Linked DNA regions of Arabidopsis thaliana. The protein of the gene in region 1 interacts with the protein of each later gene in a biochemical or structural test. Each region holds a gene or a part of one and is shown in the gene's direction. Other genes may lie near its edges.

Evidence for each region. Proteins that work in one complex are often made in the same cells at the same time.
Region 2: the proteins of SYP61 (region 1) and SYP41 form a complex in vitro, tested with the Arabidopsis thaliana proteins (one study listed by BioGRID).

What each region holds. Positions count from the first base shown.
Region 1 is NC_003070.9:10,013,877-10,018,588, forward strand, and holds SYP61 (syntaxin of plants 61), read left to right. Parts: upstream 1-1,979; 5' UTR 1,980-2,149; intron 2,150-2,530; 5' UTR 2,531-2,556; coding exon 2,557-2,610; intron 2,611-2,690; coding exon 2,691-2,804; intron 2,805-2,874; exon of another isoform or gene 2,875-2,959; coding exon of another isoform or gene 2,960-2,992; coding exon 2,993-3,106; intron 3,107-3,202; coding exon 3,203-3,390; intron 3,391-3,535; coding exon 3,536-3,626; intron 3,627-3,711; coding exon 3,712-3,777; intron 3,778-3,855; coding exon 3,856-3,966; 3' UTR 3,967-4,171; downstream 4,172-4,712. Other genes in the region: GRX480 (Thioredoxin superfamily protein), read right to left, coding at 1-171. UniProt on the Arabidopsis thaliana protein: Vesicle trafficking protein that functions in the secretory pathway; the fusion of phospholipid vesicles containing SYP61 and VTI12 is triggered by YKT61 and YKT62. Together with VTI12, required for membrane fusion.
Region 2 is NC_003076.8:9,487,618-9,492,894, reverse strand, and holds SYP41 (syntaxin of plants 41), read left to right. Parts: upstream 1-1,802; 5' UTR 1,803-2,290; coding exon 2,291-2,490; intron 2,491-2,674; coding exon 2,675-2,951; intron 2,952-3,050; coding exon 3,051-3,140; intron 3,141-3,373; coding exon 3,374-3,445; intron 3,446-3,541; coding exon 3,542-3,616; intron 3,617-3,733; coding exon 3,734-3,799; intron 3,800-3,891; coding exon 3,892-3,972; intron 3,973-4,063; coding exon 4,064-4,171; 3' UTR 4,172-4,762; downstream 4,763-5,277. Other genes in the region: AT5G26990 (Drought-responsive family protein), read right to left, coding at 198-275, 553-695, 1,454-1,529. UniProt on the Arabidopsis thaliana protein: Contributes to the regulation of secretory and vacuolar transport pathways in the post-Golgi network, and to the maintenance of the Golgi apparatus and trans-Golgi network (TGN) morphologies. Together with VTI12, required for membrane fusion.

The sequences.
Region 1 (4,712 bases):
CACATGACACATGCAACATCCTCTCCGTCCAATCACAATCACCGCGTTCTCCTCCACCACCATCCGAACTCTCTCGCCGTTTCCCTGCGTTTTAAGCGATAGCGGCCGCAGAGATTCCCCGACGGTTGTCGTCATGTTATAATTTCTTGCACAAGAAATCGTTCCTTGCATTTTCAAGTATGTTTTTAAAGATAGATACCAATTAGGAAAGGAAGGTTTTGTTATATATACATGAAGAAAGAGAGATCAGAGAGGAAAGTCTAGCGTCAACGATGGTTACGTAAGGATGTGCGTCACAGGAAGCTATGGGTGATGGTGCTGTTTACGTCACTGGATTGGAGTGGACTTAGTCATAGGACCGTGTCGTTATATCGTATCACATGTTTCACGCTGACTTTTTGGATCCCACTTTATTCTTTTAATAAATCTGCACGTTTTAATTTTGGTTCCTCTCTACTTTACATAATATTTTACTGCTTTTTTCATATCAATAAAAAATAGGAGAATTCTCAGAATTTATTACTATTATATTTGGGTTGTTTCGAAACTTTCGATAGATGGTTGTATACTTAGAAATATTCGCATGTGACGACCACATAGTGGATGCTTGCTTCTTTCGATCTCGACCATCAAAACGGAATCACCAGACTATATACAACAATTTTGGTAATCTAATACTAAAATTGTAGAAAACACAATTTTGTTTTGGGATTGCTAAATAAATACACTAGAGATGCTAGAGAGACCTAGCCTAAACTTTCGATATTTTCCGTTTTATCATTCAAGTAATTAATATAACATTTAGGTGTAAAGGTTAATAATATATATGACATTATATTCTTAGTGATCAAAAATCTAAACATAAACTTTTAGGAAAAAGACATATACTACTTTCCAAATTAATGTAACACGATCATGTCATATAGTAATGACCATGTTTGGATGAAAGTGGTAATTATGAGACGTGATTAAGTACTCTTGTTGAATCCTTCTTTTAAACCAATACTAAGAATAAGTTTGACATTATTGTCATATTATTTGTACTCGGACTTTCCGAGTAGTAGTGGAGCCTTATTAACTAATAATAATAATACGCATGACAGGAAAAAACTGAGAAGGTCATTTAGAAAGAACCATCGTCGAAGGATGGACGGTGGAAAAGTCGGTAGACGTCAGCACCAAGCCACCAACTAATTTGGTTTGTTTTAATGGAATCATGACGTCTTTCTTCTTTAAAACTCATGTCACCCATTTCTTCCTAAATTTGGACTATTATATGATTATGGGAATTGCATTTCTTTATTAAAGTCACGTGTCATCCTTTAACTTTATAAGTTCTTCAGGTTCCAAACTCCAAAGCCTTTCCAATTTTATCGTTCCACCAAATCCTGAAATGAAAGTTCAACATCCATCATGGTCCCAAAACGTTAAAAATATTTTAAAAAATAGAGTGTGGGGGATTTAAAAATTCATGACCGCTAGTAAAATATACAAATTTTCAACAAAACAAATTGCATGACCGCTTTGTTGGAGATATTATATTTACAGTTGCCTAACGTGAGAAGTTTGCATAACAAAACTAATCACAAACTCACAATATATACCATTCTTCTGTGCACCGGAAATCTATAACACTTAAAATCTTAAATGTGTAAACCCTAAAATTTTACCATACAATTTTTGAATTGAGAAAACAATTATTTGTTTTTGGTTTCTAGGATTAGTAAACAATCATTTATAGTAGCATCGGATTTTTCATGGACTATGAATCTTCTCAATAGACAGACTTAGGTCACGCTTTAACCAACAAAAACTCAGCAAGAGTGGTTTCTTTCTTCTATAACAAATGCCAAATATGCGTTTCAATATAACCATTTTCTATAACAGTTAATAATCAAAATTTTGTAACGTAGAAAATGGTCTTTATTAATACTGTCGTAGATTTGTAATAACTTATTGGGCTCTGTGGTCTCTTATTGGGCTTTATAAGATTCTCCAGTAGCCCAAAAATAAACTTTCAGCGAATCTCAAAGCCAACCGCAGGTGATGCGTTTTGCTATGTAAGAGAGACGAATCTCACGCCGGAATCTCTTTTACTTCACCGTCGTTTGTTCTCCGTCGCGTCACCTTTCGATTAATTCCTTCACAGGTAAGGAAGCTTCTTCAATTTTCCTCTTACATCAATTCTCCTTTCGCATTGATCCTTGTCGTTATCGTCTCTAAACGCAAGCTTTTTCTCCAATGTTTGTGTCGATCTTAAAGCACATAGATTGATAAAGCCGTTCCGGTTCTATTGAATAAAATTCTAACCCTAGATTAGCCAGGATTTAATCGGAATTTCTCTGGATCTAATAGTTTTGTCGAGTTTGATCATTGTGACTTAGGAACTCTAATTTTGCAATCGTAGAATTTGCGCATCTCCAGAACAATCCCTGCCAATGAGATGAAATTTCAAAATTCTGTTTCTGTAACTAACTTTGCATAAGAACTTGTTTCTATAGCTTAATCAGCTGTGTTATTTGGTGTATAGGGTAGCAAAATTTTGTTGATTTCGGGATGTCTTCAGCTCAAGATCCATTCTACATTGTTAAAGAAGAGATTCAGGATTCTGTAAGTTGTTCAGAAATTGCCAGAGATGTTTTTTTGTTTAGATTTTGAAGTACAGTGATTGATGGATGATGCTTTGTTAGATTGATAAGTTGCAATCTACATTCCACAAATGGGAGCGTATCTCTCCCGACATGGGTGATCAAGCACATGTGGCGAAGGAGCTTGTTGCTACTTGTGGAAGCATTGAGTGGCAGGTACTCGTATTTAGTCACGGTTCTATTAATCTCGTCTTTATATATAATTTAGCTGGTGTGGAATAGGATTTGTGTTTGTAAATGGATCTTGTAGGAATGTATTGGCCCTTATTTACATGATTAGAAATTCCAATTGAATATATTCGAGTCCTTTCATGGCTATTGAAGCTGTTTTTACTGATAGGAAGGTAGATGAGCTGGAAAAAGCGATTACTGTTGCAGCAAAAGATCCTTCATGGTATGGCATTGATGAAGCTGAGCTTGAAAAACGGAGGAGATGGACTAGTAATGCTAGGACACAGGTATGTTCTCTAAGTTTGTTATGAATACTGCTTTACATAGTGGCATAAATTTGTTGTTAGTTGACTTGTGCAAGACGATTACGATTTTTTTTATAGGTGCGGAATGTGAAGTCTGGTGTTTTAGCTGGAAAGGTTAGTTCTGGAGCAGGTCATGCAAGTGAAGTGCGTAGAGAACTAATGAGAATGCCAAACTCGGGTGAAGCAAGTAGATATGATCAGTATGGAGGGAGAGACGATGATGGTTTTGTACAGTCAGAATCAGATAGGCAAATGCTGTTGATAAAGTAAAGCTCTCTCTGTGTGTTCTACATTGTTTTGCAGTCTTTTCTTTGCTTCTGAGTTTATAACGATTTTAGACTGAAGATTGTAGCATAGTGTTGTTCAAAAACAGAGTAGTGCCATAACTTAACATCATTTTTTTCACTTCAGGCAACAAGACGAAGAATTGGATGAGCTTAGTAAAAGTGTACAGAGAATTGGAGGAGTGGGGCTCACTATACACGACGAACTCGTTGCACAGGTTAGTAATATGGGAAGATGATTTAACAGTAGGACGTATCAGTAGAGATCAGAAACATCAAGTTTTTGTTATTGTGTGTGTTCAGGAGAGAATAATAGATGAATTGGATACGGAGATGGACAGCACAAAGAACCGTCTTGAATTTGTTCAGGTAAACCCCTTAAAGGTCTTGTTGCTGGTTTGATTGCAGAAAGTAAAAACTGAAAGAATGAAAATGGTATTGTGACAGAAAAAAGTGGGAATGGTAATGAAGAAAGCTGGAGCAAAAGGTCAAATGATGATGATATGTTTCTTGCTCGTCTTGTTCATCATCCTATTCGTTCTTGTCTTCTTGACCTAAAGAACAGAGCCGCGGGATCTTATAGATGGGAGTTTAATGTCTTACATTATCATGTTTGTGGTGAAACAAATGGAATATTTACATAAGGTTGTCTGTTTTTTCTTCTCCTATCCAATCCCACATATAATTTTGAACTTTGGCTGTGTGATCTCTAGAGAACCTGAAATTAAATACTTTCATAGCTTGATCCCATGGCTAAGTTCCTTAAACAATACAAATCAGTCTCATCAAAAGTAAGCCGTCAAAAACTTCCCTATAGAATACACCTTTATTATGCCTTCTTTAAGTTTCCGCAATGTCTCCTTTGCTTCTTCAGTTCTGTAACGAAAAAAAAATTCCGAAAGCAGACTCCATAAGAAACATCTAAAGACAACAAAATGACTCCAAAAATAAAGAACCGGCAAAAATCTAACAATTTGTGGCAACAAACCCGGCTACTGCTCAAAAGACCACCCTTAATAGTTCATAATTGAAGGCAAATGCTTCAACTGATCGATCATCAACGAATCCAAAGGACTCACTCACTATAAGCATGATCTCCGGAAGAATCATTGCCGGATATAATTAGTTGAATAACTGATTTATTGTTGAATCTTTCTGATACTATCGTTAAACTCTTATGACAACGCTTTTTTTTTTTTTTTGTGTGCAAAATGACAACGCTTTAGATTGTAAAATGAATAATGAGTCATTGTATCATTAATAAGAAGAGATTTGGGCTGATAAGGCCCAACGTAAGCCCATAA
Region 2 (5,277 bases), on another chromosome or scaffold:
TGGTTAGGTTTCACAAACAAAACCTAACCCTTACTTCTAACAGAACATAAATAAAAGACTCTAGGAAAAGTAAATCCTAAACTATTTCCTAAATCATAAATCAGGAAGTATTCATATCATTAACACAACTCATTGGAAGAATCAGATAAGTACATGATCGTTAAAAATATAACTGGTAGAGAGAGCAAAAAGGATATCTTGAACATATTTGCATGTTGTAGGGTTATATGAGCAATCATATCAGAGCTCACTTTCACCGCACAAATGGGACATACCTACAAGATTAACAATGTCAAAACGCAGAATTGAAAACAAATCTTGCTATTGTAGCAATAAACAAGTGTCCTAGAGTTGATTTCTTCTCTGAGGAACACTGAGTGGCAATTCCAAATACTATTTCGACGCATTTCATTAGGTTACTTTCACTTTCTTTATATCCAAGACCAGTAACTACTAAACATAGAACAGTGCTCTTACCAAGAATGATATGATGAAACAATAAATAGATTTTGATTCAAAACGAGAGAAAGGTAACATTGAGGAAATATCTACCCCATTTTTTGCATCCATAGGATGATCTTCATCAATGTGACAGCATAGAGAGACGATATCAAAATAGTCTGAACAGAACGGGCAAGCATACTCCTCCCTGAAGTCATCTTCTCCTTCTATCTCCTCAAACCCCAAGAAATTGTCTGCGTTTTTCAAAAATGAAGAAACTAGTCAAACACGGCCAAGAGAACATTCGAAAATGTGACAACTACAAAACAAAAGCCTAGAAAATAAAATGACAACTACAAAACAAAAGCCTAGAAAATAAAATGGGAAATACTAAAAACGCGTTCCATTCTCGAAGTTCCAATACAAATGGGTTTCAGAAGAAACATCAAAGATATCTAAATAAACGAATGGAAACTAGTAGATCATAAAACCTTCCCTGGCAAAGACGTCTAAGTTTGAGATGAAACTAAAGCTTTTAAAAACGTTTTTACCAACAAGAAGTTTTGTATTTACTTGTAAGTCAAACAAGAATCATCAAGATTCCAGCTTTTGACATTAAGTTCATACCAAAACCTAGAAACAAAACACACACGCTTAATCAATCCCTAAAGCCTCACATTAGTAAAATGCCTCAAAAGACAGAATTTATTTCCTCCATTTTCCTTAAATTCAATATCAGCAAAACAAACATTTGAACAATCACCATTTCAAATATTCAGAACAAGACACAATCAATGTCTTGTCCCATTTTGTTCGGAAAACCAGAACAGTAACAAAAATGTCAATCTCTTACAGTCAATCTCGATCCTTGATCAATTCAAAAGAAAACAAATTTGAGGTCTAAATATCATTGATATTTTTGCAATAGAATCAAGATTAAATTTAAGACAAAACCAATCAAATCTCAAATTAAGAAAGAACAAATCCAAGTTATAATTTTTATCAAACTCACCAGATCGAGACAAGAAATCGAGCTGATATCTTCTTGAAGCCGATGCGAGACGATCACTCCAAGAATCAGAATCCATTTTTTCTACGAAGATTATTACAAATCGAAACCAAAGAATCCACTTTTTCAACAACAACAACAAAAAATCAAATAAATTCCAAGAATCCGAATTGATCTTGAGTCCGGATAAAACAAAAACAGAGATATTCCGATTCAAGAATCAAAAGATTCCGACGAAATGCAAAGACGAAGACGACGACGACGATTTTGCGTCTTTTTTTTCTGGAATTCGTCTTTTTATCTTCTTTTTTTATTATGGTTTTTAATTCTTTGGATATAGAGAGAGAGAGAGAGTGAAAGACATAGAAGAGATGAGTTCTATTACATGTATTAAATTGTTTTTTAACAGCCCGCACGAATGCATGCCGTTTAAACCTTTTACCCGCCGTGTTTTTCCCTTTTGGAATATCAAAACGTCATGCTGTTAGTACGACGCTTACGTGTCGAAATATTATTGGTTTGTATTTGGTAAGCTGGTGAAACAGGACAAAGTTAGCCGCGCAACTGTTTTTTAACTTTTTTTTTTACTGTTTCCAAAGTTTTAAGTTTTGGGGAAATAGTGAAAAGTGAAAACCTCAATTTGCAAATCTGAGAGTTTACTTTCCTCATCGGAAAAAGTTTTGATCTCGCCGCTCTCCGAGCACTTCCTTGTCGGAGTCCCAATTTTTGTGTTCGGTTTTATTCTCGGTCGATGATGAAGCCGCGATTGTGTTCAGATCGGAGCTGATTTCGAATTTGGATGTGAAATTGAGATTCTAGGGATTTCAAATTTTGACGATCATGGCGACGAGGAATCGTACGTTGCTGTTTAGGAAGTACAGAAACTCTCTGAGAAGCGTCAGAGCTCCATTGTCGTCATCTTCATTGACGGGAACACGATCCGGCGGCGTTGGTCCGGTGATCGAGATGGCGAGTACTTCGTTATTGAATCCGAATCGCTCTTACGCTCCTATTAGTACCGAAGATCCTGGAACTTCTAGGTACTCTTCTCTCTCTTTATCAGTGAAAATGGTGAACAATTTGATCAATTAGGGTTAACTGGAAATGATTAGCTTAGCAATGAGAATGATAATACATCATTGATAGTGTAGTTGAAGTAAATGTCTGTGAGCTACGTTAAGCTGAGAGTTAGTAGTTACTGAGATATTTTTGGTCATGTTTTAGTAAAGGTGCGATAACAGTGGGCTTACCACCAGCTTGGGTTGATGTCTCTGAGGAGATATCTGTGAATATACAGCGTGCAAGGACTAAAATGGCTGAGTTGGGAAAGGCTCATGCCAAGGCGTTAATGCCATCGTTTGGGGATGGTAAAGAAGATCAACATAATATTGAGTCTTTGACACAGGAGATAACTTTTCTATTGAAGAAGTCTGAGAAGCAACTTCAGAGGCTTTCTGCTTCAGGGCCTTCTGAAGATTCAAATGTTAGGAAAAATGTGCAGGTAGTTTTGACTTGATGGAAGCTGCTCTTAACACATTTCCTTTCTTTTTGCTGCATTTGCCATTGCTATCTAAGATTTATCATGTGTGTTTAATAACAGCGGTCTCTTGCCACTGACCTCCAACTTCTTTCTATGGAGCTTCGCAAAAAACAGTCAACATATTTGAAACGCTTGAGGCAGCAAAAAGAGGTATGAAACTATTATCTATTTTAGTGTAATTGGCATTTCTTATACCGGAAACTATGTGATGTTGCAGTGTCTCATTCTTTGAAGTTTTTGTTTGCTTTCTGCTCCTCCGCCTCAAATGAAACTTCTTTACATCGATTTCATAGATGATAGATTCTTTTAGTACTTGTTTTTTCAGAGTATATTATTCTGTCCTCTCAAGAAGCTTTGACTTGAAATGTATTATCATTTATCAGGATGGGATGGATTTAGAGATGAATCTGAGCAGAAACAGATATAGACCTGAAGAGGATGACTTTGGCGATATGGTTTGACTCCTATACCTGTTTCATTCTATCGATTTAAAGCAATCATTCGTCTTATGTCTTCTTTATTGATGGAATTTTTTCTCGATTCCTTTTTAGTTAAACGAGCATCAGATGTCAAAGATAAAAAAGAGTGAAGAAGTATCTGTAGAGAGGGAGAAAGAGATACAACAGGCAAGTGCTTGCACTACGTCTTTGTTCTTAGTTGTTTGTAGCTCACCAACGTTTTTTTTTTTCTTTTGCAATCAATCATAATCTTTTTTCTTCTTCGTTGTCTGTGTCATTGTCCAGGTTGTAGAATCAGTAAACGATCTTGCTCAAATTATGAAGGATCTTTCTGCACTTGTGATAGATCAGGTTAAACTTATTTAATCCCATATTCTCTTTGTCTAGCTTTTGAGTCTTCTTCCTTTCGAAAAACAAACTCAAAGCAACCCGTTTAATTGCAGGGTACAATAGTTGATCGGATAGACTATAATATCGAAAACGTCGCTACTACTGTTGAAGATGGTCTCAAACAACTACAGAAGGTAAAAATAGTGTTCTCTCTTCAACATTAATGTCCAACTATTTGTTTGTCCCAATTCTAAATGAAGTGGATCGCATAAAAAAACTTCACAGGCAGAGCGAACGCAGAGACATGGAGGTATGGTGAAGTGCGCATCCGTGCTTGTCATCCTCTGTTTCATCATGCTGCTACTCTTAATCCTCAAGGAAATATTCTTGTGATCGGATACTATAATCCCTGGTTAGATCAATAAGAAAAGTTCGATCCTTAACTATTTCATTCTTTAGCCCCGAACATCGCATGTTTTCCTTCAGGGCTTTTGGTTTCAACTTCTTTGCATTTAACAATACTAAGATCCTTTGCAGAGTAGTTAGTACGTAATATTATTGTGTAGAAGAAGACCATAGATAGTCAGAGGTCGATGTCTGAGGAGTTGAGAGATCTGTGCACCAACGCCAAAATACTCTCTTCACGCTAAAGTCAAGTGTTCTTTTAAAATGTATAAGATTCCAGTCATAGTTGTTGGAACTTGTTTTTGACAAAATGGTTTTGACCATTGTAACTTGTGGATTTTCCGGTGAAGACGTTCATTGGAGTGACCAGATTTCGGGCAAGATGGAATCGTAGCTGCGAGCACTACATGGTGGAGTATTCAAATGTGAAAACGAGTTTGTTTGAAATCTTTTACTTTCCGGTTATTGTATCTTCGCATAAATTACAAATTCTCAACATTCTAGTTCTTTTAAAAACATATATCATTTACAAATGTATAAATATTTTTCACTTGAAACAATGAAAACTTTATACACGTTTTTGTGATGAGTTAATATGAATTAAATTACATCTCAAGTTCTCAACTCTAGTTTGAAATTGGTCATGCCAAATAGCCTAATTGAACTTGTATTGTTATTGTGTCATTATCATGGTTCAAACCCATATTATAATCATACTGTTGACAAAAATTATAATTTTAATATTAAATTTGTGTTATTATTTTTGTAGATAATTAGCTGGAGGGTTTTTAAAAGAAAAATATAAAAAAAAAATTAAATAATGATTATATCAGCGCTTAAAAAAGATAGTATTATCCTGGATAGCACATTATTTTTTTTATCTGTTTCTAATGATTCTTTAAATTACCTTTAAATATAATAAATTACATATCTAAGAATTTTTTAAAATTTATGATAATATTTTATCTTTTTTAAATGTAGCATGTATATAATAAATTTAAAACTTATATTATATATAGTGCTTCAATAAAATCCTTGAACATGTATAACCAAAAAAAAACCTCAAACAACATGTGCATGGATGTTTACCAATT